2 linked regions of the Canis lupus familiaris genome follow. The protein of the gene in region 1 binds, or shares a complex with, the protein of each later gene. Links are inferred from orthologs where the notes say so. Each region holds a gene or a part of one and is shown in the gene's direction. Other genes may lie near its edges.

Region 1 (4,508 bases):
TTAAAACATTTCTCTCAAGAGAGCTTATTTTAATGTGAATCACAGGTATCCTAGTGTGATCCTACATTTCTATGATGCTCAGCAGATGACAAACCTTGCCAATCTAAAAAGGGTTGAGGTTTCTTTTTTCTTTTCTTTCTTTCTTTCTTTCTTTCTTTCTTTCTTTTTTTTTTTTTTTTTTTTTGCGGGTAGGTGGGTGGGTGGGAGAACTTGAGGTTTAGTCTATGTGCTCAAGCCTTGGTTCAAAATCTGGCTCTGACAATTACCAGCCGAGTGACCTTGGCTATGACCTCACTTCCCCGTGCCTTCGTTTCCTTATCCGTAAGTGGAGATTAATAGGAGTGCCTACTTTCCAAAGTCGTGCCAATTAAAGGAGATAGTAAGCACATATAAGATGCATGACCCTCTGAACCAGCTCCTTGTGAGTATTTGAGTTTGCAGACCCCTGCACGAGGGTTTCCGACCATCCCTCCTTTGAGACAAGGGATTCTTGTTTTATAAGCCTTTTACTTTGGATGGGGCCATGACTTATCTCCTGATTTTGTGCCATCTTATCCCTGCCCAACCTTAGACGGACTCCTCCACTCACGAGAGGTATACTTAAGAATGAAATCTTGTGTGGCCTTCCCTTGTTCCTGCCCAGAGGTCCTGGAAAGCTGAACAGATGGGGCAAAGTGAGTTTGTCCGGGACTGTGCCCATAGCATCCCCTCAGTGGCTGCCCCTCCCTTGCCTCCTCCTCTGGCTGCTGGTCTCACAGAGAGCTGGTCCCCGAAGATTGAAGTGTGTCTGAGGTTCCCAGAGCCTACGGGCTTTTCTTTCCACCAGCAACCAGTCCATCCATCCCTTAGCTCACTCCATCATTTAGTGATCACCTACTATCTGGTAAGCAGAGGCAGGTGCTTGGAAAGGAAGGAAAGCAAACCACAGAACTGTAGCGAGATTCATCCCTGTGACTTGGAGCAAGACATTTGCCTTGTTAGGCCTCCGTTTCCCCGCAGATTTAATCACCTGACTTAATGACTTTTGTCTGGACTTTCTTTCTCCTGCGACTTTGTCCTCCACCCTCTAAAACTTCCCAGGCCATCTGCAAACGGCGGCGGTCTGCCAACCTCGCATGAATCCTGGAGAAAGCCCCTTAACTGTGTCTGTAAACCATAAAAGTTTCCAGAGAGGGGGTCAAAGTGTGGAGGTGTAAAGGAGGATGGCCATGAGGGGGGGGGAAGAGAGGAGTGAGGTCTGGTCTGCGTGGGGGCTGGGAGGGCAGGAGGGGGAGGGTGGGGGCCAGACCCGCCTGCCTGCGGGGAGGGCTTGCCAGATGCTCAGAACATCCTGCGAAATCTCACACCCTCCTTGCCCCCCACCCGTCCTGGCTCCAGCTCGGGCTCCATTTCAATCTGCATAATTCGCCCCATTTCTAGTGGATGGGAGGGGGTGAGAATGGGAGGGTGAGGAGGTCTGTGGAGGGGCTGCTCCAAAGGCCAGAGGAAAGCAGAGCCCGAGGCTGAGGCTGGGAAGAAGGTGGGTGGCAGCCAGAGGGTGGAGGCGGGGCCGGGAGGAGGGCAGGCTGCAAGCCCCAGATAATATTCTGCCCAGGGCAGCAGGGCTCCATTCGGTCCACTTGCCCAGGGAGGAGAAGGAGGGAAAAAAAAAAAAAGAAAGTGGGCTGTAACTTAAAGATCTTAAGACTCCCAAGTGAGGGGTTGGTCTGGAGGTGGGAGGAGGGAGTGACCAGACACGGAGGAGACAGAGACTCAGGAGGGCGCAGGGAAGCGGCTTGGCTGAGGCCGGGACTGGGGACTCGGGGACTCGGCAGGAGAGGGTGGGGGGACGGCTGGGCCCCAGGCAGCTCCTCGGCGGCTCCCTGGGGGGGCTCTGGACACCCTCGGCCCTTCCCGCCTGGGGCCCCCGCCCGGCCTCTGTCCGCTGCCGGCATGGAGGAGGCTGGCGATTTCGACAACTACTACGGCGCCGACAACCAGTCCGAGTGCGAGTACGCGGACTGGAAGTCGTCGGGCGCCCTCATCCCCGCCATCTACATGCTGGTCTTCCTCCTGGGCACCACGGGCAACGGCCTGGTGCTCTGGACCGTGTTCCGCAGCGGCCGCGAGAAGAGGCGCTCAGCAGACATCTTCATCGCCAGCCTGGCCGTGGCCGACCTGACCTTCGTGGTGACCCTGCCGCTCTGGGCCACCTACACGTACCGGGGCTATGACTGGCCCTTCGGCACCTTCGCCTGCAAGCTCAGCAGCTACGTGATCTTCGTCAACATGTACGCCAGCGTCTTCTGCCTCACCGGGCTCAGCTTCGACCGCTACCTGGCCATCGTGAGGCCCGTGGCCAACGCTCGCCTGAGGCTGCGGGTCAGCGGGGCCGTGGCCACGGCGGTGCTGTGGGTGCTCGCCGCCCTGCTGGCCCTGCCGGTCATGGTGTTCCGCTCCACCGGGGACCTGGAGAACAGCACCAAGGTGCAGTGCTACATGGACTACTCCATGGTGGCCGCCGCCAGCTCCGAGTGGGCCTGGGAGGTGGGCCTGGGGGTGTCGTCCACCGCCGTGGGCTTCGTGGTGCCCTTCACCGTCATGCTCACCTGCTACTTCTTCATCGCCCAAACCATCGCCGGCCACTTCCGCAAGGAGCGCATCGAGGGCCTGCGGAAGCGGCGGCGGCTGCTCAGCATCATCGTGGTGCTGGTGGTGACCTTCGCGCTCTGCTGGATGCCCTACCACCTGGTGAAGACGCTCTACATGCTGGGCGGCCTGCTGCACTGGCCCTGCGACCTGGACATCTTCCTCATGAACGTCTTCCCCTACTGCACCTGCATCAGCTACGTCAACAGCTGCCTCAACCCCTTCCTCTACGCCTTCTTCGACCCGCGCTTCCGCCAGGCCTGCGCGTCCATGCTCTGCTGCGGCCGGAGCAGGTGCGGCGCGGCCTCCCACAGCAGCAGCGGGGAGAAGTCGGCCAGCTACTCCTCCGGCCACAGCCAGGGGCCCTGGCCCCAACTCGGGGAAGGGTGCAGAGCAGATGCACGAGAAGTCCATCCCCTACAGCCAAGAGACCCTCGTGGTTGACTAGGGCTGGGGCCTGCCCGGCCTTCCCCTGCTCTCTGAAAGTCAGGTAGCATGACAGCACCTTCTCCCTCTCACTCCACCCTTTCCCCTGCTCCCTGCCCCCCTGCCCCCTCTTGTCTTCCTTCCTTCTTGAGGCTTGTTCAGAGGTTTGTGGTTGAGTGGGAGGACACTGAGCCCTGCAGGCTCCTGCTCGGCCACTCGGTATCCGTGAGACGGACCTTGCACGAGTGTCTTGACCCCTCTGGGCCTCCGTTTCCCCATTTGTATATAAAACAAGGGAAGTTGTGCTGGCTCAACTGAACTGGGTTGCCCCCACTCCTTTTCTTGGATCTCCAGCTTTTCCTTTTCCCTCCTTTCTTCCTAATGCCCTGTCCCTTCTCCCTGCCCCTACTTTCTCCTCTGTCTGCACTTTCCAGCCCGAATTGTCACCTGCTGGCTCCAACCCGGTCTCCGGGGCACACCTCCTCTTTAATCCCTCCTTCTTCCCCTATTCACCTCCCTGGTTCTGCAGGGCTTCCAAGGGTTAAGAATCCTGAAGCTTGCACACACTCTCTGGCTCCCCGAGAGTGAAGGAGGGACCGGGGCTGGTGTCAGCAAAGTTAGTTCCAGGCTCTGCAGCTGGGAGCTCCAGAACTTTCTTGCAAACCGGACCATTTCACTGTAGTTTCGGGCACTAAGGATCCCAGAAGGGGGCCTCGCTTCCTGCAGCCCCTCCTTCATGCCAACTAGATGTGCTTTTTTTGCAGATTTCCTCTCATTCAACCTCTATTCCCCATGGCAATCGGAAGTCCACGGGGTTGGTGATGGGACTGCCGGCTCCTAGGTGTCATTCTATGAGTGGGGAGTCGGGAAGGCAACGTCGAGGAAGAAGGGAGTCCGTATTTAGTCTATATGCTGCTTGGCTTCCCTTTCCAATTCCTCACCCCTCCGACCTTCTCCAGAACTGGGACCTGTAGGTCTCCCCACCACAGCCTGGCATCTCCAGGCAGGACACTTTTCTTGAGCACTGGTGTTGCTGGGTGCCAAGAGTTATGTGTGTGCGTGTGTGTGTGCTTGTGTGTGTACACAGATGAGTATAACAGGAAGAGCAGTGTGCCTGTGTCACTCGTCACTTGGGTGAACTACCCCCCTACTCTCTACTCTTTACTCTCTACCACTTCTCCACTCTGCACGCAGCATCCTTGGGGAAAGAGGGACATAGTGAGGCAATATAGAACAAAAATGAATTCACCCCTTCCCCCACTGGATTTGGGGGCTCTGACGGCTGGTCCGTGCTTTAAGAGAGATGTTCCTGTTAGGGCTGGGACCCCTCTTGGGAGATCTGTCCCCAAGGCAGTGGTGCCCAAGCCCTGGGGAAACCCAATGTGCTGGGTGCCATCATTCCTAGTTCCATGAGGGAAGCAGGAGGTGGTTAAGAGCTTCCTTGGCTCCTTTCC
Region 2 (3,801 bases), on another chromosome or scaffold:
TGTCCCAACTTGGAATGTCCCCCTCTCCCTTCACTGAACACACTCAAACTCCTCCACTGCCTCCTGACCTGGGATACACCTTGCTCTTCCGAGTCGGAGAGCTGCTGGGCCAGGGCCAAGTGTCCCTTGGTCTTTGTCTGAGCACCTCTCTCCCCTTCCTGCCCCCCTCTCTCCCCTTCCTTTTCCTCCACCTTCTCCCCACCTCCTCAGCCATAGCTCCAAGCCTGCAGTCACAGTGCTAGTGTGAAGACAGCCTACTGTACCTCACCCTCTCAGGGAGGGGGCATCTCTCCTCCATCCCCAGTCCCTAAGTGCTAAGCACTCCTGTAACCTGAGTCAGGCCTCTGGGGCAAAAGACTAATGCATGTGAAGTGAATGGCCAGGCTGCCAGAATGTGGTGTGTCCAAGGGCAGCAGAGCTGGCATGGGAAGATAGCTCCGGCCAAGGGGGAGACAGCGGTGCTAAGCGGACCAAGGACGGGTGCCTCAGTTGGAGAGAGCTGCCATATCATACATAGAACAGTGGAGGGGGCATAGTCAGCGGGGTCGCTGCCACAGCACCCATGTGGGCTTTGAAAGCAGTCACAAGATAGACTGGACGGCAAGAGGAGAAACAGGTGCGTCATTCCTGGTGAGGCTGGCATGTTCCTGGAAAGTCACACACACCTCTTTGTGCATGGGCAGGCGGGGTTGGGAGTTTACACTGCACAACCATCAAACCCTGTCCACCCCTGGCTGTGGTGCTCCGTGGAGAGCTGCTGAGGCTTCCTTCAGGCTTCCTTCTGATGGTGCTTCAGAGAGCAGGGGCTCCAGGCCCTTTGGGCTTCAGATTCTTCCAGGGAGTTGCCCCAGCCTCCCTCTAAGTAGCAAATGAGTTAGAAGAGAATATTGAAGCATACTGAGAATGGCCCCTGTTTCTAGAGGGGAGATTCTTTGGGGCAGCCAGGACCTTTGCAGTGATGAGAATCAACAGCCTCTAAGTTGGACAGGATAAAGCCTGGGTTTCAGGTGTCAGCTTATCTCAGGGTGAACCAGACTCAGAATCCAAAGTAGGAGGAAACAGGTGGGTGATGGGATCATGGTGTGGGAGGAGCTACAGACTTCAGGCTACAAAGAAGACAGTGAGCCCCCCACCCGATGGGATGCAACGTGCCAGGGGCTTTCTGGGTGGCTGCTTTCTGGGGGTTGGCTGATTGTTCAGGAAGCTCAGGGGGGTTTTCTACAGGCTTGAAGTCTAGATGTCTCCCTGGCCAGAGTCTGAGCCACTCTCCCTGTTCTCCATCCTGGTTCTCGGCCTTCCCCCACTTAAGGCCTTTCAACCCTAGCCTTCCCTCCCTTACTGCCAGCAACACTCACAGTCCTAAGTACTGAATATTTTGAGGTAATGTCCTCCCCTACCCTCTTCTCCATGCCCACTCTACCCGTGGGGCTGTGCCTGTGCCATCGGCCCACCCTCACTCACCCCCAGTAGTAGAGGGCATGAACTGAAGAACCCAAGGCCCCTAGGGTCCTTCCCTGTGCCTGGCCACACCCTCAGCACAGTCCTTCCCACCCTGAGTATGACTCCTCATCAGCATCATTCCTATCCCCCTCAGTTGTCAGGGAGAGCCTTGAGGGGACCCCAAAACACAAGGCAGAAGCTGTAGCACCTGAGTTTGGGAGTGGGGTGGGGAGGCACTTAGTGAAGGCCCTTCCCTCCTCTCTCCTTCCCCAGTCCAGCCCTTTTGCAAATGGCTTTATGACAGACAGAAGTGGCCTCCTGCCCTACCTCCCCAAAGTGCGAATATAATTTGTGTTTTCATTGTCTCATTTGCGGTGATGGGTTTTAATTCTTATTAGGGGATGAGCTGACACATTAACCTACCCCAACCAGAAGCACGGAAGTGTGGCTGGCAAGCAGTGGGATCCTAATGGGCCTGTGACTTTTCTTGGGGAAGGTGGGTGGAGGACTAGAGTGTGCGCATGTGCGCAGTGGGCTTGCGTGTCTGAGAGAGCAGCAGGCCCTGGGAGCCTGGGTGGGGAGGGCCCAAAGGACAAGCCTCGCCTGCTTTTGGCCCAAGAGGAGGATAAATGCCTGGAAATTGTGTGCAAACGGAGGAGGAATCACTAGAGCCAAGGAGCCAACAGAGGAACCAGAGCATGGGGATGCTGGAGACAGGAGGAGGGAAAGGAAGAGCAGCCAGGGGCATGACTGGGGGGCTAGCAGCCAACGGGTGGTTATATGGAAACTGTGAGCTAGTTGTGGGGATGCCTGGATGGATGGAAATGGGGCTTTAGGGGCAGGGATACAGCTGAAGGCGAATCCGGTGGTGTGGGAGGAGAGAGACTGGGATTTGCGATCACTGACCTCAGAAGCCATATTTCTGCAGGCCAGCCCTGGACTTGGCATTGCACAAGTTCCCTGCAAGTCCACCTTCTGCCCAACACCATCTCATCTGCCTGTTCTTCCTGCTTCCAGAGGCCAGGCATGTTTCTGAAGTGCAAGCCCACCTTCCGTGGCTGTCCTGCAGCCTTTATGAGAGCCTCCCTCACTACACTCAAGAGCATCCAGCACCACTTGGATTCTCTTGTCAGGCCTTGGCCTGGCATTTGGAGGCTTCTACTCTAAGCCAGATGTGGACAGATGTAGAGCAGAGTCCCAGAGAGTAGAAGAGAACTGGAATTTAAATGGAAGGAATTTACATCAGACACAGGGTAGAAGTGTGATCTGGGGATGAAAGGAGACAGGCATTCGGTGGGGAAGTGCCAGTAACAGTAGCCTACACCCCTCCTGATGCACAGACTTGCTGCTTCAAGTGGCCGTCCACTCACTGGGTCACTCATTCATTCTGATAATATTTATTGGCCTCTAAATCTGGTCACAGGCTGAATAGAACCCAGCTTAAGGCTCACAGAACCAGAGATGACTCCCCACCCCAGCCATACCCACAGGGAGATGACAGGGAACAAGGGAGCCTTAGTGAGGCTGAAACACTGATGAGGTGCCCAGGGGTGAGGTAGGAGATCTCAAAGTGGGTCACCTGCCTATTGAAGGATGTCAGAGCACAATGACATGGTGTTCTGGATTTGCTGTAAAATACTTCCACTAAGAAAAAAGAGAAAAGGGATAACTAATGCATATGTGACTCCATCTGGATAGCTGTTGAACCCGGGTGATGGGTATGTGGTGGTAGGGGATTCATTTCATTGTATGCGTGAAATGTTTGAAGTGCATCTGTGATAAGGGTGCCATGGGGAGTTCTTGCTTGCTGTGCCCTAACCAAGTACAGACATATGCTCCAGATTGTACCCCCCCAATGATGTTCTAAATGAAGAACACGTTTGTCCCTGCCAGAAACGTGGTAGAACTGCCAAAAGGACATAAAGTCAGCTCCATAAATTACGAGATATGAGTAGTAGGTTTGGCCCAGGCCAGTGTAAAAATTGCAAACTGTTCACCAAGATGGAAGATAAAACCAAAGGGAAGCTTCAATGAGTACTACCTCGTGGAGACGTTGCCCCTACCGTGAGCCCGCAGCCCTCTGTCCATTCGCATCAGCCTCCCTAGCTAACAGGCTTTCCTCTTCCTGCAGGGCCGCTGCTGCAGCCTTCTGACGGCAAGGCGCTGGAGGAAGGCAATATCCGCCACCTGGTGCAGCCCAGAGGCTCGAGAAACGGACCGGGGCCCTGGCAGGGCGGTCGGAAGAAATTTCGCCGTCAGCGGCCACGCCTCTCCCATAAGGGCCCCATGCCTTTCTGAAGCAGGTACTTGAGCCTCTCTCTAGTCAGTGGGCAGCGGAAGGAGCAGGGGAGGGAAAGCCCG

The links.
Region 2: the proteins of APLNR (region 1) and APLN are in contact, whole or in part, in a cryo-EM structure (PDB 8XZG), measured with the Homo sapiens proteins. The link is inferred for Canis lupus familiaris from reciprocal best matches to the Homo sapiens genes APLNR and APLN. Residues at the interface, in NP_005152.1 of Homo sapiens: Tyr35, Phe78, Trp85, Tyr88, Thr89, Tyr93, Ser106, Ile109, Phe110, Met113, Pro163, Val164, Arg168, Gln180, Cys181, Tyr182, Met183, Tyr185, Glu194, Glu198, Leu201, Gly202, Ser205, Tyr264, Lys268, Tyr271, Ser275, Cys281, Asp284, Leu285; in NP_059109.3 of Homo sapiens: Arg66, Pro67, Arg68, Leu69, Ser70, His71, Lys72, Gly73, Pro74, Met75, Pro76, Phe77.

What each region holds. Positions count from the first base shown.
Region 1 is NC_049239.1:39,344,562-39,349,069, forward strand, and holds the start of APLNR (apelin receptor), read left to right. Parts: upstream 1-1,512; 5' UTR 1,513-1,932; coding exon 1,933-3,072; 3' UTR 3,073-4,508. UniProt on the Homo sapiens protein: G protein-coupled receptor for peptide hormones apelin (APLN) and apelin receptor early endogenous ligand (APELA/ELA), that plays a role in the regulation of normal cardiovascular function and fluid homeostasis.
Region 2 is NC_049260.1:101,760,280-101,764,080, reverse strand, and holds part of APLN (apelin), read left to right. Parts: intron 1-3,571; coding exon 3,572-3,738; 3' UTR 3,739-3,743; intron 3,744-3,801. UniProt on the Homo sapiens protein: Peptide hormone that functions as endogenous ligand for the G-protein-coupled apelin receptor (APLNR/APJ), that plays a role in cadiovascular homeostasis. Functions as a balanced agonist activating both G(i) protein pathway and beta-arrestin pathway of APLNR.